Struthio camelus: one gene and its partners. The protein of the gene in region 4 purifies or fractionates together with the protein of the main gene of each other region. This does not show direct contact. Links are inferred from orthologs where the notes say so. Each region holds a gene or a part of one and is shown on either strand. Other genes may lie near its edges. The genes, in order: RTEL1, PPAT, CIAO3 and MMS19.

Region 1 (7,558 bases), on a different chromosome or scaffold from region 4:
TATTCACATATGTAAACTGGAAAAATTTACTCTCCCCGAGCCAAAAAACCCACAGCAATCTAATGAATTCTTTTGTCTCAAGTTCAGAAAAAGCTTATAGGATTTAAGGAGATAGGGGAAAAAAAAAAAATCCTCCGCGCTTCCTCCCACCTGGAATTTCAGAAGTAAATATAAGTGGAGAACCAGAACCAGAGTGAATTCAGAAAATTCTAAGATAGAAGGAGATGATAAGAAAAGAAAAGCTGTGAACTATTGGGGGTGGGGGGGGGGGGATCACAAAAAAAAAAAAAAAAAAAATCAAAGAAATCCAGGTTCTATACATGCACATTAAGAGAACTGCATTTCAGTCGGTATCAATTGTTTTATACATTCATCCACACAAATTCAAATACTTATTGAAATAGCTGGGTTCCTCCCCTTTTTCTTGGGATAGAAGCAGTATCATAATCATATTTACCTGTAGACTGTGTTCTTTAATTCATTAATGACTTGCGTAAGTTGTGAGTGAGTTCTGGAGGCATAAATTATTTTAGGAACGTCAGTGTAATAAGCTGTTACATAGAGAGGAAAAAAAAAATTATTAGCAGAGAAAGAACTAAAGATATCATTAGTCTCCCTTCCCTGTGGTGCCATTGTAACAATTTGTTTTATAGAGGCAGCAAGAAATTTTATCATCTAACTACTCACACAAAAGAAATGAGCTAAAGAGATTTCTAATGTTCTAAGAAAATTAAAAATACATAAGACACCTTTAAAAACCTATGAAATAGTACGAAATTGTGCTTCAGCTGCCAAACAATGCTTCCATAGCTTTTATGACTATATACTCATTGTAAGAGATAGGTAAAGTCAAAAGCGTTCATTAACATTCCTGATTTTATGCTCAGTGGGAGCGATAAAACGTACTTACCTGGGACATCAGCATCCACAGCAGCATTGCCCCAGGATGACATGGGTCTGTCAGGAAAGAGCTCCACTCCGTTCATACGTTGTGCAATTTTGCGGGCTGAAATAGTATCTTTAAAGTGTTCCCGCCAAGCCAGAGTGGAACACAGAAGGCACAGTGTCTTTCCTGTGCCTGTAGGGCTCTCCAGAATGCCATTTACCTTCTTTATTGAAAAGAAATAGAATGAAAAAAATGAGTATATTGGATATTCAACTAGAATAGATCATCGTGCAGTACAGCATTTTCCCAGTAAAAGAGAATTCACTATGCAGGAAAGTATACCATATGACAGAAACACATACCCCACAAAGTTTTTACATGCAAGACCTGTGACCTCTAATCAGCTCAGTGAAACTCAGGCTAAAATCCAGAGACAACTGTTATCCTTTATTTACTATAAGGATGGAAAATGCCTCTGCTAAATAGAATGCATCACATTTCAGCATAAAAGGCACACAAATATTAGAAATTACTCCAAAAAATAGAAATTGATTCTTAGATTATAGAATGCTTATTTTCCCTAGAACGATGACTATATCCTGCATCACAAAATCTAGACATAGTTTCAGCAGAAAGTTTGGCAAGCAGGTCCATTTCTAAATATCTAGCTCTACTGGACATTCCAATTTCCAAGTGTTTTCACAAACTGCATTATAAATAACAGGTGAGCTTGCACAGCTGAGACAAATCATGGTAAGCACACTAAAAGAATTTATTCATGTAACAGGCTTATATAAGTTTTACTACCACATGAGAAGGACCAAGCCCTTGCCTATGATCCTGAGGAATGCTGAGCTATCATGGAAAGCCTAAGCTTCTGTTTCATCTCTCAGAAGAAGCAAGGACCTTGGAGATCGTGTTTACCAATTCCAGAACAAAAATAACTATTGTAAAAACCATTCCTTATTTGACATTCATTCAGTAAGATTACATTATCGTAGCTAGAAGGGCAACTTACACTAATAGTACAATTCACTAACAATACAAAAGCAAAACTTCTAAGGATAGAGTGCACGAACATAAGAACTACTTCCTTAATTTTTCTTCCTTTTCCCACATTAGGCAGAAATAGCCTGTCCTCATTTCTACTGAGAGATACAACACTTGCCCATTTCTGGGTTTTTAATAACTGTATACTAAAATAAAATTACAAATAAAATCAGAAAAAATTGAAAAAGGCAGTATACAGACAACAAGAAGTAAACTTGAATCATGACTCCTTTTTTAAGGAACCCCTTTTCACAGCTAGAAATGAGATACGCGTAGTAAATGAACTAAGATACACCTAGGAACTAAGCTGCTGTAGATCTGACTTGTAACACAGTCAAGAATTAAATTTTAGCAGAGGAAAAACTGCTGCGCCAGAGCCCCTTGGCTGCAAGGAGCAGCACGCCGCCGGCACCTCCCAGCACTCACCTTCTGCAGACACTCGAGCACTTTGGCCATGTACGCTTCCTGGCACTTGTACGGTTGGAAAGGAAAATCCACGGTGATGCCATTTAGAGTAACCTTAGGCATGTTTTCCGCAAGGCACCTGAAACTAAGGGCATGCGCGTGATCTGCAGTAACACGACGCTAGGAGGAGCCCGCGCGCCCGACAGCGCCTCGAGCAATGAGCCGGATGCTCGTTTGCATAACAAGCGCCCGAAATGGCCCGTCTCCCCCTCACAAAATCGGGGCCTCTAACACGTTAGCAGCAAATCCGCTCCGCAGCCCGGGCGGGGCGCGCAGGGGCCCGGCGCAGCGGGCTCACCGGAGGACCCGGCCGCCACGTTCACGTTCCCCGGGGGGGCCGGACCCCGGTGCTTCCCCGCGGCCCTCACAGGCCCTTCCCAGGACAGGGCCGCTTCCCTGACAGCGCCCCTCGCTGCGCCCACCCTCCGGCACCCGGGCGCCCCGGTGGCACCGGCGGAGCCTCCCTCGGCCCTGCCCGCGCCGCCGAGACCCCCCCCCGCCGCTCCCCCCGGTTGCCATGGGGACGCGGGCGCCGCCGCAGCCTCACCTCGCGCGCCACCGTTCAGAATCCCCGCGCCTGCGTCACGTGCCCGGGCTCCTTCCGCCGCGTCACTTCCGCCGCGCCCGCTCTCGCGAGGCTTGCGGCGTTGCCACGGGAACGGGGCGGCGAGCGGCGGGGCCCGGTAGGCCCCGGCTGTGGCGGCGGGGCCCGTTTGCCGCCGCTCGCGGTGCCGCCCGCGCGGCGGCGCTGGCAGGGGGCTGGCGACCTCCCTCTCACCCCCCCCACCCCGTGCGCGGCGGCGGGGCTGTGGGGCCAGGTTAGGCCCTGCCTGAGGCCGGCAGTACGGAGCAGGTCCCGGGCAGGAGCCGGGGCCGGGGGGCCGCTCCGCAGCGGGAGCTGCGTGATGGCAGCGGGAAAGTCGGGAAGCGCTTCGGGCCCCCCAGCTGCTTCTCCTTTCCGTCCTAGTGCGGGAAGCCTGGCCGCAAAGAGGCGGTAGATAGACCGTTTGCTTGCAAAAAGCAGCAAAACGGTGACGTTTCTCATGCTTTTTTAAACCTGCTGGGTTCCCCCTAAGCGTCTGAGTGCTCCTTCACGGTAGCTGGTTGAGGCCGGATTTCTCTCCCTCTCTTTCATGAAAGGCCAGGGGGCCTATGTAGGAGGTCATCTCCTTGACCAGTTTTTCTCTCCAGCACACCGTTCTGCTTTATGCCGCCTGTCTGCCACCCTCCGGTGGTAGTGCCTACAGGGAGAACGCAGACTCCTACGGGATTCTGTGTTGAAACTCTCCATGCTCTCAGTACAAGGGGTTTTATTTCATTATATTGCGCCTTGCAGTCTCTGCATCGCAAACAGTAGTGAATTCTGATGGGTATCTGAATTCTGATGGGTATCGTTAGGGATGAATGTCCTGCTCCTTCGTTCTCTGCTTTCCTTTCAGCCTTCAGTTTCCTGTCTTTATGTCAGTGCATGTGGCCTGGAATGGCTGTGCTGGAATTTCAATTGCTCAGACTAAGGGTGGGTTCCACCCCTATGTGACTGTAATGAATTCTGAACCGTTCTGGAATGATGGATGAGCCAGTGCTTGTAAGATTCTAGCAAGCCATCCAACTATTTGAATAAATGGACGTGGTTTGCCTGGATCACAAAATTTTGCAAAATCATATTTTACGCAATTATATAAGGAAGAAGGTAGAAGAAAATCTTTTATCACACACCACATCTCCCTGTAAGTCATTTCAAGTTCCTACGCTGTTAGATGGTTACTATATAAGTGTAAAACAGGATGTAGCGTCGTATTACTGAAACTTTACAAATGCCCTTACCAAGTTGCAAGGGGTAATGTCTGTATGTAGAAGTATTCTAATATTTCAAGAGAAGAAAAAATGTGACCTTAAATGTGAGTGTATTGTGCCATCTGATCTCAAACTTCTGGTATATTCTGTGTCTTCCAAGAATTCAGATAGCGAAGCTTACATATCCTGCTCTTTTGGTTACCAGTCTTGAATCTCCCCGAGCTGAACTTGTCTGTCTGTAAGCTGTTTTGAATTGTAGCTAGTAGGCTACAGAAGTACAACAAAGCACACTGGAGTTGGGTGCTAGCAGTTGTTCTGTGGTTTATAAGCCTCAGTTTTCCAGCTCTTGCAATACAAAGCTGAACTTAATAAGGTGTGATTGGGAGTACTCTATTAATATGGGTCGCTATACCTCAGGCATAATAAGTTTTCTATATTCTTGTATGTCTGTGAGAAAAGACAGTTGTTTGTGGAGTGGGGCATCTGTAATTGAAGAATGCCTAAGGAAAATGTTGCTAAGGACAGAACGTCTAAGGTTGTTTGATATGTCAGACTTGATTTTGAATAATTGCAGAAAAGTCATTCAAACAGTCCTTGTTTTTTTACGGTTTGAGAGCGTTAAAATACAGTCTTTTGGTGTCATTTGATTTTGAGTTACTCCTTTTGTTCTTCACTGTGCTCAACACAAAATGTAACAAGCGATTTTGTTCATATCTCTGAACGTATTAACTCTTTCACTTGATACCAGTCATACAAGACTAAACTGCAAAAGAAATGAGTTTGTAGGAACTGATGGGATGCTGTGAAGGTGTGGGATAAGGTATTTGTAATGGAGAATAAAGGTTTAAAACTGGCCATAAACCTATTGAATATTCCCTGCCTTTTCTGTCATTGTTCCCTGTAAATGTATGTTTCATGCTTTGAAGAGGAATATAAATGTTGTGTAAAATCAGATTATTTTCACTACTATTTAAGTAACGTTGATTTAAGCAGTGTTACCTTAGAGGGAGAAGAGTTGGAAAGTTCCCAAACCCAAAAAGGAATATGATTCAGCAGGTGCGCTATTGTCCAGGGAAAGATATGACTCAGCACTGGCTGAGTGCTGTTTATCGCTCTGGAGGGTTATTTCTCTGCACCATTTACCTTACTTGACCAAGTCTGCAGTGCCAGCATCATCCAGTCTGTTTTTATCATTGCTTCACCAATTTCTTCTAAAAACTGGGAAGAGAGCAAACAAAATCTTGTAAGTTTAAAGAGAAAGATTTATTCCTCATTCAAGTTGGAAGAGAATGTTAGAGGTTTACTAAAGCCAGAACATTGTTGTCACATACACGTACGGACATCATTCTCATTCCTGGGTTCTCATTCTGGGATTTAGCTCCCTAGGATAAAACCTGCGATTGTATAAGCCATGGGTTTGGGGAGGGAAAAGGAGGGGAAAGAGGAGAATTTTTGGAGTGGCATGGAGGATAATGACAGGCCAGTCCCTGTACCATTAATGGCTTCTTCATGCTGATCCGTCCTATAGGCAGTGCAGCCTACCAGAGGTTCCACACAGTGCTTTCTCACATTAGTAGATGGTGAAGATCTTGGATGAACTAGTTTTCATTTGAAGTGGGCAACAGAAAGTAAAACATGTCTATAAGGAAAAAATGTACAAAAGAAAAATCTTGCAGAAGATAATCCTAAAACTCTGTAGGGAAGTGGATGTGTGAGTGGCTGAACCTCACTACGCAGAGAATCCTGTAAGTAGAAAGCTTGTAGAATGCAGAAGTACAAGGAGAGTAATTTTCACTTTTGTTTGGGGGGGGGGGGGCACCCATGCAGGATTTCTCCTCCTTGACAAGCAAGAATCTTGAGGAACAGGACCGAATACATTGAAGAGCAGCGGTGACCAACCGTGAGACCACTGCTATTCATGCATTTTTCTCCTTTTAGATACAAGAGGATTAAGTTGCCATTCATTGTCCTTCTGAGGACATGTAATGGTTCCCATGGTAACCATCTAAAACTTTTGTTTGACCATATAATTATTTGATTCCTTTGAATCCAGATAATCCCGAGCCCTGCTGTCTTTTTACTGTTGGGAAATACATGAAGTAAAACTGCTTTCTCTTTGGCACTCAAATTTTAATCACAATCATCCTGTTATTAGGTGGATAATGAAATACCCATTTTATGATGAGGAAACTGAAGCAGATGAGATTAGTGACTTGGTGAAAGCCACGTGACAAATCATGGTTGAAGCCAGAACTAGACACAGCTTCACGTGCTCAAAATTTTCTATTCTTTACCAGTTGTTGTTCCTCAGTCAGTTATCTCGTTTTGCACTGCTAACTTTTTTTGTACAACCTTGACCAGTTCTAACTGAGCAGACTCTGTGGTGACCTGAATTCCTAGCTTGCTTTACACTTTTAAGTGACTAAATTAATACATCTCCTCCTCTTCCTCATGATCCAGATCCTTTGCACAGTTTGGCCTCGTTTCGCAGATGCACATGATAGATACCAAAGAGGAAACGTTCAGAATAACTCTGTTGTTTCCCTTGCCTTAGGGAAACATTTTCCTGATTTAGTGCTGATGTTGTTATCACTGGTTTCTCTTTCTCAGTTGCAGTTACTTCAGGCTGGGCTCAGATAGCTTTCTTGCTTGACAATGACCGTCTTTATCTCCATTCTCGACTGTTATTTAATAATTTGAGGAGGGTTAATTGCTGCCCTATGTGGGATTTTTATTATTTCATGCCAACTAAGTCAGCTTCTCCTAGCTTCTTGAGACTGCAAATGGTACTGGAAGGTCTCATGGCTGCACTATTGCCATACCTACACTGTTGTATTAGAGTAATATATGGCAATCCGTGCTTTTCCTTTTAGACTAGGTGTTTGTCATCCTTCAACCTTATTTCGTTAGTCACTAGATTAATTTTTTCCCAAATGTTTCTTCTTGGAAGCCCTACTTGTGCAAGACTTAGAGCCACAAATAATAATATAAAGAAGTGTGGTTCTGCCATGCCTGTAACCCTTCTTGTAACAGCCACAGCCTGCAAATCTTCCTTTGTGAACTGTTGCCCTAGACGACTGTCTCCTATAATGAAACACAAGGAGGATTACTATGGGTCTCTGATTTGGGGATGTGTTGTGTATTGAGGAGATAGTTTTCTCTATCAGGTCGTGATTTTTCTTTCTTTGGTTCCAAAAGACATTTCTGTTCTTCAAAATTAATAGACGAGCCACCCTTAACAGTTTGCATGTATATACTCTTGTAAACTGGTTTGTTTGTCTTTTTTTCTGAAAAGAAAGTATGAGTTATTGGAAGAAGCCTTCCTGTGGCACACGACCTCTAAGGATGTTTAATTGTTAAAAA
Region 2 (7,162 bases), on a different chromosome or scaffold from region 4:
TAAAAAAATTTTAACGCTATAATTCAACTCATTTTAGGACGTTTATCACAAATAGCCAAATTTCTCATAGTGCTGCAACCAGGTATATCAGATTACAAAAGATTGATAGCACTTGTGTTTGTGTAATGTAACAAATATTCTGTATGTATACAGATAAGATTTCAAAGATGAGAAATTATAGCATATTCCCAACAGCTGTCTCTTCTTTATGGGTCGGCCATCTAAAAAATGCGGTTTGATACACTGCTATGTTCGTATATTGTAATTTTTAAAACCTAAGATGAATTAAGGGCCAAACTGTCACCTGTGTTATTACCTAGGACTAATTAGCATATAGAAGAATCATGAGCATGAGTATCTAAGGCCAGTAGTCATTAACTAAACATCCTTATTCATTTCAATGTGAGCTCTAAGAACTTTATTTTCTAAATGGCTAATCAAATTTCTGTTAGTCACTTAGGCTTTATTAGGACTGTCCATTAATATTTACCATACCTCTCTTTCATATTTACTTATTTTGAAAGGAATAAGGTTAAGAGACGTTGCTTAGCTTTCAAATTTAAGAGAATGAACTTGATGAAATTTACTGATACAGTTAATGCTGAATCTCAATGTTGGTTTTCAAGAGACATTCTAAGAAGATGAAGAATAGCTGCTGTCCTATTACCTGCTGATAGAAACATCACCTTTTCTACACCTCACAGTAGAATTATTAAGGAAAAATGTGAAGAGGTTAGAGAGAAACTTTAATGTTTAATGATGAAAACAGGAACACTGACATCTCAAGTATTTCATAGAATTTTATTGAGTGCTTGTAAAGGTAAACCTAACTGAGCAAACTGTAAAGAAAACAGATTTCGGTATACAGACACAATAAGGTTTATGTCTTTAAGAAAGCATCCCCTGAACATTTCAGCCAGTTGTGGAGTTAGGAGATCAGAATCAGAGGTAGTCCGATGTCTTCAGGCGCATATCCACTGATTTAATGGAACTTGAAAACTGTTCACAATTTCTATCACTATATTAGTATTACTGCCTATAGTTTTGTCCAGTAAGGCTCCATAGGGGATAATGGTAAAACATGGAAATCAAATGTACGTCAAATGCACATCAGAAAGAAACTATGTTTCCATGAAAATCATGAAATGTGTCTATAATGAAAATTGTGATAGTAAGCCACAGACAAACTTGACTAAAATACACCAGTCATTTAATTTCCAGTCGTGAAACTCCAGAGCCACAAGTATAACTATGTGAGCATAAATGACTTTTTACCAGCCTGTTTACAGAAAAATGGCTCAGCGAGAAAGGAGACCATTGATTAGACGGCTTCCTTCCTTGGATTCTGCAGCTTTATCACTCTGAGTGAGCATATTTTTGATAGACACTGGCAAACATACGTAGTTCATGAATGATACACCTGCAACCCAAAGAAAAGATTAGGATATGGGAGTCATGTAGGGATGCAGTGTTTTATGAGTAGAAGTGTATTAAATTCAGCTGTAATAAACAGAAAATCTTAATGTAGAGTTTTCTAGTATTGGTCCAAAACAAATTTGCAGCAGCCTTTGCATGTCTGGGACCTCTAAAATATAAAAACTGTAACATTTTTTCTATTCAATGCATATGTACTTAGAGAAGCCCCACCTCCTCAAACTGTCACGAAGGTGATGTAGCCCACTTTTCACAAATGGAAAGCAAAACATATATATAGGTGTTGGCACCACCGAAGCCAAAACTAGCATGAATGTGTATGTGCACGTGTTCCCACAAAGAAGAAATGTCTTGCTACCATTACTGAAAAAAAAATGAGTAGTATATAGTAGTGCATAACACTGTAACTTTGAAACACCAAATGATAGCGGAAGCAAAACTTCCTTTTGCAGCTCTGCATCCCTATCTCGGAAGGTGATCACTGGGAATATAGTCTTTTTTACTTTACTATAAGCATAGGTGGAAGACAAGTTTTATTATATCATGATGATGTTTCCAAATAATTATTTTATTGCAGCACGGGAGTTTAGAAATATTTATGAGCTATTTACTTAGTCTCAAACTTCGAATTGCATTTGAGCGTATGCATTTCAAATAATGCTCAGAATGAGGGTCTGGCCTTCCTGCAAGTCCTTCAGGAGGTCAGCGCCTACATTAAAAAGCCGCAGAGGGACTGAGTTGTTGGGACGAGACGACTAGCTGATGGGGAGAGGCACACCGCCACCGCCCCCCGCCTGGCTGCCCGCTGCCGGGGCTCCGCCGCCGGCTCCGCGGGGCCCCGGGAGCGCACAGGCGCCTCGCGGTTTCGCGGGAGTTAACCCGTCGGCGCACTGCTCCGCGGGGCGCCCCCAGGCCATGAGCGAGAGCAGGCTGGTGGCGGCAGATGCGACTTCGTTAGACGGAGCCGAAGCGCAAAGCGTGCCCGAGAGCTGCGCCCTGCGCTTCCCCCGACGGGGGCGGCACGGAGGCGCGAGAGGCGGCGGGGCGTTTCTGCCGTTTGCGCTTCGCCGCCGGGATGCTGCCAGGGCTGCCAGCGCCCGGCGCGCAGCGGGAGGCGGGCGCGCTCTCCCCCGCCGCCGGTGGCGGCGAGCGGAGACCGGCCCGGATGCACGTGCCGCCGCGGGGCCCCGACCCAGGCCGGCCGCCGGGGGCTGCCGCCCTGCAGCCCGGCCCGCCACCGAGAAGTCACTTTCGGATGCTGCCGGATGGCCGGGGGGGCGCCCGATCCCGTCCCCGACCCCACGCTTTGCTCACGCTACCCCCGCCCCAACCGACTTCCTCCCCCCGAGCGGCGGCAGGGCCCCCCCGTCCCTTTACCTGTGCTGCAGCCCCACCAGCCCCAGGGTGATCACATGGGGCACGTCCAGCTCCGTGGGCCACAGGCCGGAGGCGATGCAGCCGAACACGCCGCACTCCTCCCGGATGCCCAGCTCCTCCAGCTCCATGGTGCGGCCGGCACGTGGCGGTGGCGGCGGCGGCCGCCGCGGGCGGCGCTCCGGCGGGCGGCGGCGGCGGCGGCGCGGCGGCCCCGGTCTCGCGGCTCCGGCGCGCTCCTCGCGGCGCCGCGCGCAGCCAACAGCGCCGCGCCGCGCGGGGCCGCCGGTACCCTGCCCGCGCGGCCTCCCTCATTTACATACGGGGGGGCTCCGGCCCGCGCACATGCCGGCGTCGCCCGTCCCCGCTCCTCCCGCCGCCCCCAGCGCGCGGGGCAGCGCGGCGGCCCCCGAGCCCCCGCCCCCGGCCCGGGTGCTTCCGTGGGGCGCACGTTGCCGCGGGGCGCAACAGGCCGGTGTTTGCCCGCGGTGGGAGCAGGGGGGCTGCGCGGAGAGTTTGAGGGCCGGGCGCGGCGCGGCGTTTGCATTGGCCGAGAAGTGGGCCGCGGCCGTGTTTGCATCGGGGGGAGGGGGGACAGCGGGGAGTGGGCGGTGGAGGGGACCGCGGGCTGGAGTTCGCCCCAGCGGGGCGAGGGGGCGCGATGGGGCTCGGCCGGGAGGACAGGGGTGCGGGCCGGCCCCGCCGCCTTGGGCGGCGATTGGCGAGCGGCGCCGCTGCCCGCCACCCCGCCTGCCCGCCCCTTCCGCCGGCCCCTTCTTACCCCGGCGGCGGGGCCTGGCAGCATGTGCTGAACCTCTCTTCTGTGCCCTAGGTACCTGCTGCCGCCGCCGCCGCCGCCATGGCTCCCGCAGCGTCAGGTAATCTGCTTCCCCGGCGCGTCTTCCCCTTCTGGCGCTGGGGGGGCCCTGAGGGGAGCGGCCGTTGGGCGCGCGCTCCGCGGCCGTTGGGCGTTGAGGGGCGCCGGTAACGGTCGGGGGGGGGAGGGGACGCGGGGGGCGCCGCTCCCAGCTGAGCGATCTGTGCGGCGGAGGGGGCTCGGGGCTGCCTTTACGTCCCGGGAGTGGGAGGGGGGGTCTAAGAGGCTGGCGCTGAGGTTTAGGTGCTTTTAAGCAAGTTCCTTTCCGCGCAAAAGTGTGGTTTTGGGGGTCTTTTTTTTTTTTCCCCTTTCCCCTCCATTCTTTTGTGTGTGGCCACCCCCGAGAACCTCGTCTTCCCTTTCCCGGGAGTTTGGGCACTGAGCTTCCTCGTGCGAAGCAACCCTATGAGCAGGTTAAGTCTGGCTTCTTCCTCTCAAAGAAGTGAAGACCAAGTGTACGTGAACGTTAAGGCATAGCGAGCTGAAACTTAAAACGTCTTTTATCTTGAGCGGTTGATGTGTGCAGCCCCCAAACTTCCGATGCTCTGTGAAGCTGCTCCTTCAGACTGGTGCTGTCTGGCAGCGTTCTCTGAGCTTCGAGGTTCCTCTGCCCTCTGAGCTTCGAGGTTCCTCTGCCCATCTTGTCCTGACGGCGCAAGGGTAGTACAAGTGACTCCAGGTTGTGCTGACATGACTAACGCAAAATCTACAAAGTGTAGGCTGGCTAGCTGCGTGCCTTTTTTTAAAAATAAATAAATAAAAATAAAAAGCCGAAAGAGTACACTGCTTCTTTCAGCTGAAAGATGCTTAGGTATGATAAACATCTGTTGTGGTACTGGAAGTTTGGGCAGAAGGGATTGCAGGCTTTTACCTTTACTGCTGAGAGGAAACTTACTGAACAAATGGTTCAGTAGATGGGAATGTTTCCGTAGTGGTCGTTGACCACGGTTTAGAGTCCTGCTGGGTCTGACTTGGCATGCGACTGAAAGCATGCTAGCTTGGCTTGCTGACATACAAAAATAGTTTTGTTTCGGTCTGAACCTTTTTTTTTTTTTTTTTTTTTTGCGTAGAGCTGAAACTTGGTAAAAAAGTTAATGAAGGTAAAACAAAAGAAGTGTACGAGTTGCCAGAGATCCCAGGATGTGTTTTGATGCAGTCAAAAGACCAAATAACAGCGGGAAATGCAGCCAGGAAGGACCGTATGGAAGGGAAGGCTGCAATTTCCAATACAACAACTAGCTGTGTGTTTCAGTTACTTCAAGAAGCTGGTGAGTGTTTTAAAGGTAAAATAAATGCCTGTATGTTGCAGAGGCTCTTAAACCGTATTGCCTGGAGAACCTTTTTTTCACTTTATTTTCTGTTGGGGTTTTTTTTCCTTTGATACTAATAAGTTGAATGACTTAGTCATTTGAAGCACGAGAGTGTCTGAAGCAATCTTTAATCACGGATAACACTACTATAGTTTGTCCTGCATGTTTGGTCATGGCCCTACTCCTCCCCTCTGCTCATGTCAATCTGTTTTTTATTGGGTATAATAACAGACTGGATGCATCTCATCTTTCTTATAACATCTGTCTGCTTAGAAGCCACTGCTAGCTAGTAGTAGTTAAATAGACTATATCTAAAAGTTGCTCATGAGTGAGTTCTGCACCACACTTCCAAAAATGGAGTCAGTATCTTCACTTTAAGGAAAGCATTTTGAAGTGTCTTTTAACTGAGAATTTAATATCTACCTCTCTTCTAGATATATTTTATTTTTTCTTTTACAGGAAAAATAAAATAGGTCTTTAGGTCACTGCTTTTGTGTGTGTGTGGGGGGGGGGGTTAATAGTCACAAGAAAATAGTATGCAAGTTGTAAAGAGGAATTTGAACTGGTGAGTTCCCAACTTGATTCTACAAACAGTACTCTAATACAGGCAACAATAGACTCTGTGTAAGATGGTGTTCATAGCTGTACGCTCAGTTCCTTTTGAAGCGTCTGAGTGAAGACTGCTTCATGTTGAGTACCAATTAGCCTAAATGTAGTATTATATAATAAAAGTGTAGTAATAGATAGCAGATGCTCAAGCACTGAAGTTCTAGCATGTTTCATATGTGGGGAAGAGAAAAATGTTTTTCCCTAGAGTTCTATCTAGCTATATTTCTATGCAAGTAGTTCTTAAAATATGTGCTGAGATTGAAGATTATATTGAGTGACTTAATTGTATCTTTCTCCTTCCCCACTAGTCCATTTGGGAAATATTTCAATCACTAGGCTTTCCTGGAAAGCCTGTTTTGCATATAGTACAAAGAAATCTCCAAGATCTTTGGTGATAGTATTTACAGTTGATCTTTTTTTAAAAAAAAAAAAGGGGGGGCGGGGGAGACTTTCATTTTGGAGTGATGAATAAGATGTGTTGCCTGACTTTTTTTTTAAGATGGCTTTATTTTATTAAGTTAACATTTAAAATATTAAATATCTGACAGTTTAAGTGTGAATTTTAAATGCTAAGAAGTCATGCTGTAGACATCTCAAAGATCTTTAAATGGCTTTTGCTGATTAACTTTAGGTGCTGTGGAAAATTCTCCGCAGAATAAATTGCAGCGGCATTTTAAAACAACAAAAGGACTTTCAGGGTTTTTTCTCCAGTTTTGTTATTTGACTAGCATAAATTGCAGATAACGCTAATGCCGTATTGTAGAAGTAGTTTGTTTGCTTTGCGCAACTCCTCTTAACCTATTTTTTCAAAGGTGATGATTTACAAAGAGTTCTGTTAAAGTTTCTCCCTTGTTTGTAATGGAGCTGATGTCAGCGCTTCTAAAGCACACATCTGTGCTGATTAAAAATTTAGTAATAAACCAGGCAGGGGGTTTGGTGACCAGATTTAGAAGTGACTTGACATACATTTGATAGTTTAAATTTTGTCCTCTGGGGCAGTGCAATTAGGTATAAAAAGTCAATGTGTATTTTAACACTGTGTTTTAAGTGTTTTACTTGTTCTACTTCCTTTATGTCCCTGGAAGTAGAGTGGAATATAGCTACTTCTTAAATGGACTGGCTGCAACTCCTTTGGCCTCTGTCTCTGGCAGATGCCAATTGGGCTTGACAGTTGTCTTGCCCTGAGGGGGAAAAAGTGAGACTTCTCTTACTTTGCTAGTTGGGAGGAAAAGAGTCATATTGGACTTACAGTGGCAATCGGCTCATGTTGATTGTAACAGTGTTTAGTATGGGGTCATCTTAGAATTATATAATACTGTTGCTTTGCAGCAAGTTTGCGTGTGCACATATACCTCCTCCAAGTTTTAATGTCTCTTGCCAAATAAATCACTGGGATCTAAAGTCCTAAACAAATGTTAGTTAGTAAAGAAAGGAAGGACTAAGGTGTCTTCTCCTGCCCTGTTCCCCTTTATAAACAAAGTAGTAAGGACTATCATGCTCCTGTATTTTGCTCCCTTTCAGTAATTCCTCTGACAGTCTCCAATTACTGTTCAGTGTG
Region 3 (7,393 bases), on a different chromosome or scaffold from region 4:
TGTTTACGCCACAATTATTTCTGCTGTCTGGTGGGTTGACATTGCTCCAAAATACTGAAGTGACACTTTCCCGGAAGCAAATGTGGTCCATCTTGTTTGCTTTTTCAACCTGTGCATGGCAGAAGACTGGGGTTGGAATGGCTGACTTGCTACAGATTGTAGCTGCTACTTTTAATGGCAAAACTGTAGACTGCTGAGATCCCAGGCCCTTAAGCACCGATCTCCAGCGTGCATTCAATATTTGGATTAATGCTAGGGAAAGCATGCCAGGTCTATCAGATGTTGCTCGTGTTATTGAATTTTACTAGGGCTGTTGCTCCACAAGAGTCTTGACTTTCACTCTTTCTAAAGAGATTTCATAGCCAGGCTACAAACTCACTAACGTTTTTCATTGTTAAGGAATATTCTGCAGTTATTCTGTGTGCAAAACTTACACGGGCACTGATGGCATGTCAAAGTGCGTCTGGCATGGCGCTGGAAGGAATTTTTTAATATTATTTGACCTGAAAAAATCAGCTTTCTAGTGAGACTCTTCTTTAAATGTTACTTCTCAATAAACTCAGACTGAGCGATGAAGTACTTTTAAATTGAAAGTTTTAAATATGAAACCAGACTCCTTTGAAAATGCTGTATTGGCCTTTGTAACTCAAAAGGTAATCAACAGCCTGAAATTAAAAGCACTGTCTCTAGATGAACTCCCAGTTTGGTTAACAAAGAAAAGCTCAACTTCTCTCTATATATATGAAAATACTTCAGTACAACTTGCGATAATTTGGAAGCAACAGGTTTATGAATTCTGCATGCTGCTTAGCAAATCATTTAAAAGGTATTATTAAAAAAAAAAACAAAGGTTAAAGAATATATAAATGAATCTCCTTGTTACTGAGCACGCTACTGTATAACATAACAAGAAAAAGCATTGTTTCAAATAATCTAGCAATCCAGGCACTCGAGAAGCGATGGCAAGAAAACAGACTTCTCAGCTTACCTGCTCTTGCACTGAAAATATCATTAATTAACACCTGAGTTTGAGAGCATGAAACAAAAAGGTAGACATGAAATTAGAAATATGGCTTATAAAACTGGGTAGTTAAAACCCAGTTGTTTGGTATTTTTCCATTTTTCCAAATTTGACTCCGGAAAAAGATGTGAGGAGGCTGATGACAAGAGCAATATTTTTGTTACATCTTGGTTCCCTGTGAGGTGGTAAATAGCTGTAGCATTTAAATACCGAGCAAGAAAGTTGCATTTTCTGGATATTTTACACATTAATCAAAAAAAAATCACACATACCTGACTGATCTGAAAGTAGCTCCCATCTGCTTCAATCCTGATCTTAGCTGCTGCTTTCCCAGTTTTTTTTTCAACTTTTACAGGTTTGATACATTCCTGAAACAGAAATAAAGTCCAAAAGTGAGGAACTGAGGTGAGCTGTGTGGCAGAGAAAGCACAGCAAAAATGCAATTGAAACTGGAATGATCAAAAGCAAAGGCTGGTTCAAGAGCAAATGCCACTTATTCTACCTTAAGGTACGCTCGATTTTTCTACAGCATCTATGACCACCAAGGGGAAATGTAAAAGTAAAAACTGCTTACCCCCTTTTTACAGAAGGAACACTTTTCCAACATCATACCAAAACCAGAGGGCAGTTTTGCTGTTGCTCTGAAGAAGCCAGCTATGCTTTATGGGGTCTTGAAAAGAACAGGGGTGTGCCTGCAAAGTCCTTTTCTCTCTAAAATCCCTACAGATCATGCATTCCTCACTGCAAATTTTAACCAATGGAGGCGTGGTCACTACAGTCAACACGGGGCTAGTGCCAGTGAAGCTTCATTTAATGCTGCAAGGAATCTGACGACTTCAGATGGACTGCTTCCAGCTCGCTGCATTGTTTTGTGATGAAGTCTCAAGGGTGTTTTTATACTTTGTGCGATTGTTATTGTTTAGGCACCTTCTGTCTCTATGTCCTGCTCCAACAGCCAGGAGTCGCCTTGCCTTTTACGGTCCTTTCTCTGCCAAAACCTTGAAACGTTTCTCCCCCTAGAGTCCAGCTCGACTACATCGTTGCTGCAACTACTGCAAGATTCACAGCCTACGAGGAACGAGTCGTTAAGCTTCTTCAGTTATGCTCCCTGAATCATAACAATCCAAAGGATCTCTCCATTTGAAACAGAAAAGGGGGAACAAGGAGAGTTAAGGGGGTTCGTTCTACTCTGTTTCACTACTCTCATTTGGAGACTGTCTTCTGCTCTATTTGCTGTCAACCACCATCGCTAGGATTATGCTTTTCTTGACCTGGAACTTTGCTAGTGCTGGAAGACTCTGACAAGAAAGCCTTGCCTTCTCTTTGCCGCTCGCTCCCATCTCGGTGCCATCCTCTCCCGCAGCCTGGCATGGGCACTTGGGTAACAGTGAAGTGCATGTACTGGCTCGGATAACTCGTCTAAGCTTAATTTTTCTCGGTTTCTTCGTTTTGTTTTGGTTTTTTTTCGTTGCTGCTGTTTTTTGTCTAGGTTGACAGTTCCTAGATCCAGATGGGGCTGAGCGGGGCGTGTGAACAAGGCTTTTCTGCAGCTGCTGCCCTCCCCGACCCCTCACGCTGGCAGCACGGAGCAGCGAGGTATTTCTGTGCTTCCTCCGTTTACTGCGCTAATGAGCAGCACGGGCAGAACTGGGGGAGGGGGAGGGAGAGGGGGGCCGGGCGCGGCCCCTTCGCGCCCTGCGCGCTCCGAGGCACCGGCCAGGCCCCGGGAGCGCGGCGGGGCCTTCCCCGCCCGGAGCCGGAGCCGCGGCCCCGGCCCGGCCGGGAACCATCTCCCGCGGCCTTGGCGGGCGGCGCTGGCGGGGAAGCGGCCCGCCGCCCTCGCGGCCCGCGCCCACCTGGGAGGGCCCGATGAAGTCGTCCAGGTCGGTGAGCTGCAGCACCCCGCTGAAGGGAGACGCCATGGCGACCGCCGGCGGGGACCGCGCCGCGCTGCCGGAAAGCGCCGCGCTGCCGGAAAGCGAAGCCGGCATCAGCAGCCGCGGGGGGGGGGGGGGGGTGGTAAAGAAGCGCGCATGCGCGGGTCGGGCTCGGGCGGGGCCGGGGCGGGCGCCATGATGGCGGCGAGGGCGGTGGCGGCAGAGCTGCGGGGCGGGGCGGGGCGGGGCGGGGCGGGGCGGGGCCCGGCCGCCTGCGGGGCGCGTGGTGGCCGCTGGGCTGCAGCGCGGGGTGCGAGGCCGAGGTTGGCTGCGGGCCGTGTGGGGAGGCAGTCGCGGCGGCCCTGGGCTGGGCGCCCGCGAGCCCCTGCGGAGAGCAGGTGGCCGGGGTGGGGGGACAGCGGCCCCCGGCCCGGAGCGCTCCGCCCCCAGAGCGGTTAGTGTCAGGAGGGCAGCGGGGGAGGTTCGTGCCCCTGTGGTGCGGCGGTTTGAGGCTGTCGCGCCTCCTTTCTGTGGCCCTGAAGCGTGAAGGTGAAGTGGCTGCTGAGTTGTGCGGGTGGGTGTGGAAAGATGGGTTGGAGGGTGGGGAGGGAATAGGTGTTGTCGGTGCCGGTTGTGTTCCGGTAAGGGCGTTTGGGAGTGTGTTAGTAGTGTTGGGGCGTGTCAAGGGCAGGGGGGAAAGGGCTGTGTGAAGGGGCTCCCAAGGAGATTGGGTAGAGCGCCGGGGAGCGCGGTGCGTGGAGCAGGCGTGCTGCTGGTTTGGAGTGCAGTGAGCGAGAGGCAGTGTGGCCGTGGCGTGGAGGCTAGGTGCAGCGTTTGGAGGAGTGAGGCTGAGGTGAGGGCAGATTGTGGGCTAGGAGATGGCGCTGCAAAAGGTGGGCCCGTGTGTTGTTTCTTGTGAGAAGGTGTTGTTTGTGGTTGAGGGGGAGAGCAAGGGTGGTCCTGGGTGCAAAAGGGAGAGCAGTCTTGCCTTGTGCGCTTTTGGTAGGCACGGGAGGTGCTTTGGGGATGTGTTTGCCTGCTGGGTAGTGGCGAGGGTGTGAGTAGTAGAGGGAAGGGGGTGGTGATTGGCGGTGGTTGTGTTGGAAGGTGCCCCGTCGGGGGGTGGTTGTGTGAGAGAAGGGAAGGGAGGAGGCTGTGGATACCAGTTGCGCCTTGTGTGTGTGTGTGTGTGTGTGTCCCTAACCCCCCCGGTGGCCCCCCCTCAGCGCCCGGGCCGGCAGGTTGTGGAATGGCCCTAGGTGAGAAGGCTGTGGTGTGTTTTGTGCTGTGGGTGGCAGTGGGAGTTGTTTGTGGAGGTGGGTTGGCGTTGTGAAGCGAGCGCTGTTAGGGGAAAGTAGTGGTTGGGCGGAGAGGAGCCAGCGCTTGCCGGAAGCAGGAGGTGTGAGAGAGTGGAGGTGTTGGGTGTGAAAAGGGGAAGAAAGGGGGATGCCGGAGGAGCTGCTTGTGCCCTGTGCGCCTTTGCGGCGGGGCCTGTAGTAGAAGAGGCGGAGGGTAAAGGAGTGTTGGAGGCGAGTGGGGTGTAGCGGGGGAGGTATGTTCTTTGGGATGGCGGGCAGGGCGGAGGCAGGAGTGCTAGGCAGGCAGGTGGTGAGGTGTTTGTGGAGGCAGTGCTTAGTGTGGAAGAGACTGGAGGTAGGGAAGTGGGGTGGGAGTGTGGGCAGGATTGGGGTGAGAGTGGGGTGGTGTGCTAGTGGGGCAGGAGGAAGTGCTTTCTGGGTGCTGTGGCAGATGTGCTTGAGGTGGGAGGCGGAGCGCTCGAGCGGGTGGCCGAGTTGCAAGGGTGAAAGTTGCGCCGTGAGGTGTTTGGGTGCCAAGGAGAGGGGGTTGGTTCACGCTGTGGCTGAGGTTGCTTGAGTTCAGGGCAAAGGTGTTGGAGTGGTGGAGGAAGGGGCGGAGGTAGCGGAGAGGCTGCTGCTTGTTGGCAGTCGGCTGGAGGCCGGTGTGTGTGTCGGAGGGGTTGTAGGTGGCGTGGCTGTGAAGCGAGAGGTGGGCCAGTGTGTCGGCTGAGAAAAGGTCTAGGGAGTCATGGTGCAGAAGGCGGAGCGGAGAGGGAGGCGTGGGAAGGGAGGGAGAGCATTCGGGCTCCCTGCGCAGCACCTTGTCGGCTGTGTGGGTGGGTGCACGTGACCGTTGGCGTCCCGGGAACATGACGTGTGCTGTGGACAGGGTTTCACGCAAGCAAGAGTGCTCAGTATTTGCTGGGAATAAATTTAATGAAGGAGAGCTGTTTTGTGCTGGTAGACGGGTGGTTGGCGAGAATGTTGTGAGCGAAGCATGCGAAACCAAGTAGGTGCTCTTGCTGTGTCTTGCTTGTCGTCCAGTGCTGTTGGAGGCCAGGAAGAGTGAAGCGGCCTCGGAGCCTGGGGAGGGTTGTCCCAAGCACGGTGTCTCTGGCGTGCGCGCTCACCAGGGCTGCAAAGCCTTGCTGCAAAAGAAAAGCAGGTAAGGCGGCGAGTGAGGTGCGGGCAGCAGCTGTTTGCGCAGTCTTGGCCTAGCAAGTATGTGGGTGTGGGCGTGCTGGAGGTGGGCGAGGGCAACGGGCTCTGGGAAGCCGTTCAGCGAGTGGTCTGGGCTAAGGGCGAGCAGCAGTCTGTGCAAAGGAAGTCTTGGTTTTCCGGCTAAAAGAAGATGGGCAGAAAGCGTGGTGTTTGCCGGCCACAGGCGCCTGGGGGTGAGCGTCTCACCTGAGAAGCAAGAGCAAGAACCTCGTCCAGGAAGGCAGAGAGGAGGGTTTCAAGCACGCAGATGTCCTGCAGGACTCCGGGGCCAAAAACTAGGTGGGCTAGCTGGGTGGCGGTGAGGTTGTCGGTGACATCGACCTGCAAAGGAAAAGGGAGCCCGTGAGAGAGAAGCCAAAGGTTGCTGACAAAGGGAGAGCTAAGGCCCCCGGAGTGGGCGGAATTGCGGGCCTTGGGAGGATGAGGTGGGCTGGGGCTGGGGCTGAGGCAGGGGGGCTGTGTCCTCCTTGAATTGGAGCAGGCAGGAGAGGCGTCAGCCTCGTGCATGGCAAGGGCGGTGGTAGAGCAGGCTGGTAAGGCTGTGCGAGCGCAGCGGTCTCGGTCCTTTCTGAGCGTGGAGGCACACTAACCCCACTGAAATCTGCCACTAAGGTGAGGAGATCTTCATAGCGAGCAATAGCTGCGAATGCACCCAAGTTGTCTTGCAGCCAGTGGAGGCATGTTCCGTGGTCCAAAGGAGACAGAGAGGCTGGGGCAGAAGAGAGGCCAAGAGTGAGGCGATGGCCTTTCCTTGCGGCCGCCTAGAAAGGCGAGGAGGGCCACCGAGTGGGCTGTGGGAGGGTTACCTGGTCCGTCTTACCTGCGTCGGTGCATTGGCTTTGGAGGAAGGTGAAGACAGCGCTAGAGATGCCTTGCAGCTCCCCGGGCAAGAGGGCTACGTATGCCTGGCTCCCGGAGGACACGCTGGGGAGGGAAGTGACATGGGAAAGAGGTAATTCTTGCTGTTGAGGTGGTGGCGGTAGTGCTAGGGGTGGGAGGGCTGCTTTGTCAGGGAGAAGAGGGGCGCAGAGAGGGCAGCGGAGAAGGACGGGAAGGCCTGCTTGCTCGGAAGTGGGCGAGTGCTTTGCATGGGAAAGGGCGGGCTGGCAAGGGCTTTGGAGAGGTGAGGGCAGGGCAGGCGCTGTGGCAGGGTTATCTGTCGGCAGAGGTTTCTCTAGGGTGGTGTTAGAAGTCCTGAGAGATGGTGGTGGTGCAAGTGCCCTAGTGCTGGAGTCTTGTGCCTGCTGAGTGACTGAAGGCTCTGGAGAGGCTAGGCAGTGGGCAATTACGCGCTGGCGAGGCGGTGCTGCCAAATGCCAAGTGGGCAGCTTTCTGAGTAGGCAGCAGAAGCGGCGGGGTGGGAAGCGTTTGTCAGAGCAAGAGCGGTGGGGTGCAGGTGGCAGAAGGCGAGCTGTGCCATGGCCGCACGTGGGCATGAAAGTGTGGGCAAGGGGGGAAGTTGGGTCGAGCTTGGGAGTGTTGTTTGTGGGCCTAAGGCTGCTGTGCGTTTTGCTCGTGCTTTTGTGGGTTGGTGCAAAGCAGGAGGGTTGTTGGCAGCGTATTGTTCACTGCTGTGCGTGGGGCAGAGGGGAGTGTGTGTGCGGGTTGGTGTCAGCGCTGCCCTTTGGAGTGTGTTATACAGCTGAATGGAGTTGATGAGGCCCCCTATGTGCTGTGCTCTGCTGCTGCTAGGTTTTCCTGTTGCTGGTGGTGGCGGCAGCGTTGTCGGCCGAGGTGGACCGTGTTGTGTTTGGCAGAGACGCTAAGTGAGGCTAGCGTGTTAGGAACCGTGTTGCTGTGCTTGGCCGTAGTTTGAGTGAAGGGACTGAAGATGTGACCGTAGGTGCCTGCTGGAGCACGTCTGTAAATAGTAGTGTGTTGCGGGGCTGCTGCTGAGCACAAGGGAGCGCTGCAGGTGGCTTGGCCGCTTCCTAACCACCGCGCTTTGTATTTTTATTTGACAGAGCAAAGGCGCC
Region 4 (7,316 bases):
CCTCTCTTCCCATCTTTTAAGAAAAGTGAGTTCAGCCTCCTCCTGACACCCGCTGACCTGTACAGTCCAAGCTGCCTGTAGCAGCAGTGAAGTCTTCCACTTGCCAAGTTGCAGTTAATTTAGTACTCAGCAACACATGCAAGAAGCTCAACATGTTTTTCCAACAACCGCACGAAGGCCACGAGGTTAGAAAAACCTCCCCTTTTGCTCAAGGAGATGTGATGCAATTTAATATTTTCTGATGTATGATTCTATGAAAGGTCAGAGGGGCCAAAGGACACTCGCTGGCTCACTTGCTTGTCAAGGTAGGTTTATCACAAGCACCATACGGCTGATGAGAGCTGTGGGGGGAGCAGCCTATCTCTTTGTATGCTTTTGAAGAGGCAAAGCTTTCTCAGGGCACTTCTGTAACATGACCATAGATGACAAGAGCAATTGTAAGGTTATCTTCCCCCCCGTCTATCGCAAACATGTTGGAGGCTTTGTGCAACTCTTTTGCAACATCTTGAATGTCATACAGTTTAGTGAATTCCTCCAAATTTCCTTGGCGTCTTCTTCATCATGCATTACATGGACCATTGGGTCATCTGCCAGTTTTGCCAGCTCATCTCTTCACCAAGATACCACTGAACAGTTTACCCCCTTGGGAAGGGTCTGTTAGCTACCCTGCGGTATAATGCAGCCTATGTACTCCTCTGCTCTCTCAAATCCTTTCCAAACACACAGAAGCCACTGCCTAGAAACACGAATGCTCTGCCTTATCCTTAAAAAGCCATGTTCCTGAAGCTGCAAATTCCCTAATGTAACAAAGTCACCAAATTGCTGCTCCAAGCGGAAAGGCAAATTATCCAAGGAAGTCAAATGCCTCAAGCCCAGCCAGGAAAGGAGGAGAAACCACAGAAAGGGCAGCCAGACCCTGAGCCCCAGAACTAGGGGCAGGAGAAGCCAGCACACCAGCTTTCTACCTGGTGAAAGGCAAGGCCAGGGGCTTCCTCCCCGCAGGTGGCCAACCTCCACCTCCCAGGCAGCCGTACCCAGGACCATCCTGCAGCTCCCCCTGCGCCCCGCACCTCCAGTGCCACGGTTCATAGCCTCACACATCCCCACACCACATCCCCCTGCCCGAAAGTGTCACTCTCCACTCCAGGCCAGCCCCCCCTGCACTGCCCCCCTGCAATCCCAGCCCATGCTGTAGGCTAGCCTTCCAAAATCCTGATCAGCCTCACAGATCGCACAACTCTGCATTCACCTCAGCTCTGAACAGCCCTGCATCTGCCCAAAATCCGTGCCCACCTTACTCCTAGAGCTCCCTACTCTTGCTGCTGCCCCACATCTACCCCACAGTCCCTAATCCCTTGCATCCCCTGTCAACACTCATCTCACAGCTGTTTCCCACCCCCAAATTCAGGCCCCCACCCTATTCTTTGACTGGCATCCATCCTGCAGCACTGCCCTGTAGCCCACAGCCCCCGCTGCTCTCTACTGCCATATCCCACGGCACTTTCTTTGCCCAGCACCCCACGGCTCCCTGTATCCCATTCCCCACAGCAGCATCCTGTCCCCACGCCCTGCTCTACCCCATGACCATCCCAATGCCAGATCCTACCCCACAGTCCTGCACCTGTATTTTGCTCTGCTCCATGGCCACGTCCAAAAGCCAGTGTCCTGCCCCGTGGCTACATCCCATGCCCTGCCCTATCCTCCCTGCAGCTCCATGTTCACTTGGCTATGCCGAAACATCCGTTCCCTGTCCCCAAAACGGCCCTGTCCCACCCCACAGCCTTAGGCGCACGCCTCCGTTCCCTGCCCCACAGCTCCATAGGTATGCCACATGATCTGCCCGACTGCCCTGTGCCCTGCCCCAGAGCCACGCTCCATATCCTGTCCCACCACCATGCCCATAACCCTACACCTTGCCCACAGCCTCATGCTTTGCCCCACAACTCACAGCCATGACCTTTCCTGCCCAGCCTCACACCTCCATGCTCTACCCCATATCTCATCAAATAACTATAACTGTGCTCTGCCCCACACACTGCGCCGTATCTTCATACTCTGTCCCATGCTCTACCCCACAGCCCCATGGCCCCACAGCCCACCCCACAGCCCCATGCCCACGGCCACACCCTGCCCCACCGCACAGCCTGCCCCACAGCTCCATGGCCATGCCACTGCCTTGCCCCACAGCCCACCCCACTGCCCCATGGCCACAGCCATGCCCTGCCCCACAGCCTGCCCCACAGCTCCATGGCCATGCCTCTGCCCCTGCCCTGCCCCACAGCCCCATGCCCACGGCCATGCCCTGCCCCACAGCTCCATGGCCATGCCACTGCCCTGCCCCACAGCCCGCCCCACAGCCCCATGGCCATGGCCACGGCCAGGCCCTGCCCCACAGCCTGCCCCACAGCTCCATGGCCATGCCTCTGCCCCTGCCCCTGCCCCACAGCCCCATGCCCACGGCCATGCCCTGCCCCACAGCTCCATGGCCATGCCACTGCCCTGCCCCACAGCCCGCCCCACAGCCCCATGGCCATGGCCACGGCCAGGCCCTGCCCCACAGCCTGTCCCACAGCTCCATGGCCATTCCTCTGCCCCTGCCCTGCCCCACAGCCCCATGCCCACGGCCATGCCCTGCCTCACAGGTCCATGGCCCTGCCATTGCCCTGCCCCACAGCCTGCCCCCCCCAGCTCCATGGCCATGCCTCTGCCGCTGCCCTGCCTCACAGCCCGCCCCACAGCCCCATGAGATACCCGGCCCCACTGCCGTGCCCGGCCCCACCACACCCCCGCCCCACACCCCAGGCCCGGCCCCATCCCACCCTACACGCCCCGCCCCGCCCCGCCCTGCCCCGCTCCGCCGCCCGGTACCTGCCGCCACCTCAGCGGCGCGCGCGTCCTGCTGCCCGGCCACGAAGTCCTGGACGAAGGCGGCGAGCAACCCGGCCCCGGCCCCGGCCCCGGCCCCGGCCCCGGCCGCCGCCATGACACTCCGCGCTGAGGACAGCGAGCCGCCGGCGCGCCCGGCCGCGCGCATGCGCCGCGCCGCGGCCGCCCCCCGCCCTCGCGCGCGTGGGGGAGGGGCCTATAACGCATGCGCGCGGCTGGAGCTCGCCCCCCCCCCCCACCCCGGAGGGCGAACCGTGGGGCCCCAAGGGGGGGGGCCGGCCCCCCTACCCCCACGTACGGCGCGTCGGATGGGACAAAAGCGTCGTGCGAGTGGGCGCGCCCACGTGGGCGGCGCCGCCCGCAAGGTGGTGCCGGTGCCGGTGGCGGTCGGGGGTCCCGGCGCGGGCGGGGCGGGGCGGGGCGGAGCGGGCCGTGCTGGGCCCCAGCTCGGGCCCGGGCGCCGCGGGGGCGGTCACATGCACACCTGGGGAGGGCGGAGCGCGGGGTGTCTCCGGCGGCGGGGCGGCCCCGGCGCTCAGAGCCCGGCGGCGCGGCTGCACGGCGCCGGGCCCCGCGGTCGGGCGCAGCGCGGAGCCGGCCCGGCCCGGCCCCATGCCGAGCGCCCCGCGCCGCCGCCGCCCGCGCCGCCGCCGCCGCCCCTGAGCCCGGCCATGGGCGGCTGCGTGGGGCGGCAGCGCCGGGAGCGGCCCGCCGCCGGCAACCCCCGCAAGCGAGCAGGTGAGCGGGGCCGGCCGTGCGCCCCGGCGGCGCGGGCACCGGGGGGGGGCACCCCCGCGTGGTCCGCGGGCACCGGTTTGGGGTCTAATTTTGTGCGCTCTTGGGGGTGTCCGTGGGCACCGGCGGGGGTCCGGTCCGTGGGCACCCGGGAGTGCCTCGTCCGTGCCTCCCCCCCCCCGCCCCGGGGGACCCGGTGCGGTGCGCGGCCCCGGGATGGGGCGGGCGCCGCCGAGCCCGGCCGTGGGCTCCCCGGCAGCGGCCCGTCCCCGCAGCCCTGCCCGCCCCGCGGGGCTCAGCCGTCGCCCCCCGCTCACGGCACCGGGCGGGCCCGCGGCGGGGACGCCGGCGGCAGCGCCGTGGCCGGTGCCGCGGGGCCGGGCAGGTGTTTTCCTCCTAGCCGGCACCGCTGCGCTCCGGTGCCGTCCTGTGTCTGGTGTGCGCGGGGCAGGGTCAGGGCTGGGGTGTGACATTATGTCCTGCCCGGCTCTGCCGGTTCCCCGGCTGCTTTTAGGTCTGTGCTGGCCCCGGAGCACTCTTTCTCTGCCTGCAGTGCCCTGAGGTTTGTCCGGGGACGCATCCAGTGCAAAGGCTCCCCGCCCCGGGTGCCCTCCGGCACCGGATGGGAAGGAGACGTTGCGCCCGGGCTGCGCGGCGGCACAGCGGCCCCGTTTCGGGCTTCGTCCTGCTGCGCTCAGCAGAGGGATCCGGTGTCCGGGCCAGCCTGCGCCTCCCAGCGCCCTCGCTCAACGCCTCCCGCAAACGGCCCGCTCGGGGCCTGAGCACGAGTGCCGTGTCCCCCCTAAGCGGGGGGGAGCGTGGGGTGTTGCTAAAGGGACCCCATCCCCTCTCCTGCCGGGGTTTGGGGACCTGCCCGGCGCTGGGAAGCCGTGTGCCTGGGGCAGCTTCGCGGGCGTCCTGCAGTCGGCCCCCGCCGCGGCACGGGAGGGAGTCGTGCGTGTGCGAACGCTGTGGGCTCGGCGGAGCTACCGAGGAGCCCGGCCGAATACCTGCGCGAGGTGCTTACGTAAGGCGCTTCCCCAGGATGTTGCCACATGCGGCATGGCCCGGATGGGCCGGCGGCTGTCGCCCACGGGGGTGGGCACGGCTGCCTCCTGCACGAGTGCGCTGGGAGCGGGGATGGTGCCACCGTCATTCAGTATCAGCCCGAGGCTCTGGCCGCTTGCGGGTTTTGCCGAGACCCAAGGGCTCCCAGAGGCGACGGCTCGGCTGCTCCGCTGCACTCCCTGCCTCTGAGAGTTAACTCATCCGGCGCGTCGACCTCCGGAGTCGCCGTGCCCCGGCTCCCCAGGCTGGCTGGAGCGGCGCCGGTCCCCGGCGAGGCGGCGGGGAAAGCTCGTCGCAGCCGGCGGTGCGCAGGGAGATCGCGCCCTGCGAGAGCCGGCCCCCTGCATTCCCGAATCCGGCCCCGCCAAGAGCCGTGCAGGCGGCAGGGTGAATCATGCCTCCCTTCCCCTCGCCCTCCTCCCCAGCCGGTGCAATAACAGCGCGGCGCGTTGCACCCACTGCTAATTGTTGTGTTTATAGCCGGGTGCTGGAGGAGGCCGGAGAGGAGGAAGAGGAAGCGCCGTGCGTGTGGGTGAGGACGGAGGGAAGCCCCGGCCCTCTCCGGGGAGCTGGGCTGCGGGTGGGCGAGAGGAAAAGAGGTTTTCCAGCAGGACGGTGCCCTCTGCTCCATAAATAGCGTGCCCCTGTGCCCTGCCTTGGTAAGAGCGGGCAAAGCCTGTGCACGGTGCTTTAGGACGCTGCTTATTCAGCTGCTCCTGTGTCCCAAAAGCCCTCCCAGGGGTTTTGGGACGTTCCCTGAGGGCGACGGAGGCGGTGAGTGCGCTTGTGCGCTGCTCGGCACGTGGCGGGCAGCACTGACCCGTGGCCAGCCAGGTCTGGCTGTGCCTGGTGGCCCTGGGGCTCCTTTCTGGGGTGCCGGTGCGTGCGGGCAGGCTCGCTCCCGCTGGCCCCGAGCTTCGTGGGCTCCGCGCCCGGAGCAGCGCGGCTGCCCGGCACGGCCTCCCCAGCCCCAGGTGAGCTGCGGCTCGCCGCGCTGCGGAGCTGCTCCCTGGGCCAAGCCGGTGTGGGGCCGATTTGTGCAATAACAGCCCTGTTCCCCCCCCGGGGGTCCCAGCCCCCACGCTGTCCCGCCTGGGGATGCGGACGTCCCCTTGCAAACGTGCGGGTGCTCCTGGGCCCTCGGCCTGGCCGGGGCTGTTTGCTCAGCTCTGTGGGTGTGCGAGGCCCTTGGCAAACACCTCCGTGCTGGCTTTGTGCCGCGGTGGCTGGGAGGGTCAGATCCGGAGGCCTGGCTCTGGGTGCTGCTTTCCGCCGGCAGACCCGCCGAGGTCCTTCACGCCCTTCCAAGGTGAGCCGTCACGGGGCGGCTCTGCGAGCTCTCACTTCGCCCCAGAGGTCGGCCGCTTTCCCAGGTGTTTGTCGCTGCCGCGATATGCGATCGCGGGGGGACCCCTCCCGCGCAGGGTCACGGCTGGCTGCAGAGCCGCGCTCCCACCTCCATCTCCCACGTGGCTGCTGCGTTCCCCTCCGGCCCGGAGCAGTCCCTGCGAGGCTGCCCGCGTCCCCGCGAGCTCTCCTCGGCCTGCTCGCGTTCCTCCTCCCGGTGCCCCGGCCGCCGCGCTGACCGCCTCCGCTTTCTTGGAGCGCGTCCCTTCCTCGGGCAGAGCGCGTGTGCGCGCCCCGCTCCTTGCCAAGAGCGCGGGCAGGCAGCGGGGGCAGCCCTGCGGCTCCCCTGGGTTTACCGAACCGGTGAGTCGCGCTCGCAGGCCGTGGCGGAGCGGGGCCGTCCCCAGGGCTGGGTGGCCGGGCCGATTCCTGCCCTTGCTTGCGGAGTGACATCAGCCCGCGGTTGCTGCGCCCGGCGGGCGCTGCCTCGGCAGCTGGCGGAGGCTGGCACCCCGGCGGATGGCCCTGAAGCGAGGTTGCAGCTGCCTTGCCTGCAGCGTGGGGACCCGGCCGCGGCACGCAGGGACCTGCCGTCGGCCGGGAGGAGAGCGCCCCGCGCCCGTGGGCCTGCAGCCGGTGTGGGCGCTCCCTGGCCAGCGTTTGGGGGGGTGAGAGGCTGAACCCCGTTTCTGGGAGAGAAGCTGGGCTCGGTTCCCTGCTGGGCTGGAGCGGGGAGCAGGTCCTGCGGCTCGGCTGCGGCGGGAGCCCTGCCAAGCAGTCCGTGTGCCTGCCCGGCTTCTGCCCTGGCCTGGACTCGCTGCGACCCTGTGCAGCGCCAGGTGGATCCGGCGTTTCTCGTCCCCTCTTCCTGCGCTGTGCTGTTGTGAGCTGCTCCCTTCCCTCGCCTTCCAGACGGGGAGGCTTGAGAGAGGGGTCCTGCGAGCAGGAAATGGTCACGAGGGTGGCTGCTGCCTGCTCCATGCTTAGGTTGTGTGGCCTTGAGACGGTTCCCTGGCCGAGGAGGGGACCGCTGGCTTGCCGGTACGGCTGGCGGTGGCATCGTGCGTCTCCTCCGGTGCGGAGCCGGGACCGGCCCGCGGGGCTGCCATGCTTTCCCCTGGGGGCGCAGCGGGGCAAGGGAGCTCCCTGCTGCTCCCCGCCGCCTTTGGGAGGTGCCGGTGGATATCCCTGAGCCGCAGGAAGGATGAGCCCAAAGAACTGGCGGATGCCTGGCTGGGAGCAGCCCTGCTGCTGGAGCCGGCGAGTCTGGGTAGGGATGG

Evidence for each region.
Region 1: the proteins of MMS19 (region 4) and RTEL1 purify together in Homo sapiens (affinity purification with western blotting; 4 studies listed by BioGRID and IntAct, with this or other methods). This does not show direct contact. The link is inferred for Struthio camelus from reciprocal best matches to the Homo sapiens genes MMS19 and RTEL1.
Region 2: the proteins of MMS19 (region 4) and PPAT purify together in Homo sapiens (affinity purification with mass spectrometry; 3 studies listed by BioGRID and IntAct, with this or other methods). This does not show direct contact. The link is inferred for Struthio camelus from reciprocal best matches to the Homo sapiens genes MMS19 and PPAT.
Region 3: the proteins of MMS19 (region 4) and CIAO3 purify together in Homo sapiens (affinity purification with mass spectrometry; 3 studies listed by BioGRID and IntAct, with this or other methods). This does not show direct contact. The link is inferred for Struthio camelus from reciprocal best matches to the Homo sapiens genes MMS19 and CIAO3.

Annotation. Positions count from the first base shown.
Region 1 is NC_090959.1:18,012,948-18,020,505, forward strand, and holds the start of RTEL1 (regulator of telomere elongation helicase 1), read right to left. Parts: upstream 3,016-7,558; 5' UTR 2,949-3,015; intron 2,487-2,948; 5' UTR 2,465-2,486; coding exon 2,363-2,464; intron 1,110-2,362; coding exon 911-1,109; intron 552-910; coding exon 458-551; intron 1-457. UniProt on the Homo sapiens protein: A probable ATP-dependent DNA helicase implicated in telomere-length regulation, DNA repair and the maintenance of genomic stability. Acts as an anti-recombinase to counteract toxic recombination and limit crossover during meiosis.
Region 2 is NC_090945.1:56,075,811-56,082,972, reverse strand, and holds the start of PPAT (amidophosphoribosyltransferase), read right to left. Parts: upstream 3,008-7,162; 5' UTR 2,940-3,007; coding exon 2,812-2,939; intron 1-2,811. Other genes in the region: PAICS (bifunctional phosphoribosylaminoimidazole carboxylase/phosphoribosylaminoimidazole succinocarboxamide synthetase), read left to right, coding at 3,641-3,686, 4,756-4,953. UniProt on the Homo sapiens protein: Catalyzes the formation of phosphoribosylamine from phosphoribosylpyrophosphate (PRPP) and glutamine.
Region 3 is NC_090956.1:2,351,813-2,359,205, forward strand, and holds the start of CIAO3 (cytosolic iron-sulfur assembly component 3), read right to left. Parts: upstream 3,016-7,393; 5' UTR 3,013-3,015; coding exon 2,878-3,012; intron 1,972-2,877; exon of another isoform or gene 1,632-1,971; coding exon of another isoform or gene 1,596-1,631; intron 1,390-1,595; coding exon 1,294-1,389; intron 1-1,293.
Region 4 is NC_090948.1:17,004,095-17,011,410, forward strand, and holds the start of MMS19 (MMS19 nucleotide excision repair protein homolog), read right to left. Parts: upstream 3,017-7,316; 5' UTR 2,984-3,016; coding exon 2,869-2,983; intron 1-2,868. Other genes in the region: UBTD1 (ubiquitin domain-containing protein 1), read left to right, coding at 3,092-3,251. UniProt on the Homo sapiens protein: Key component of the cytosolic iron-sulfur protein assembly (CIA) complex, a multiprotein complex that mediates the incorporation of iron-sulfur cluster into apoproteins specifically involved in DNA metabolism and genomic integrity.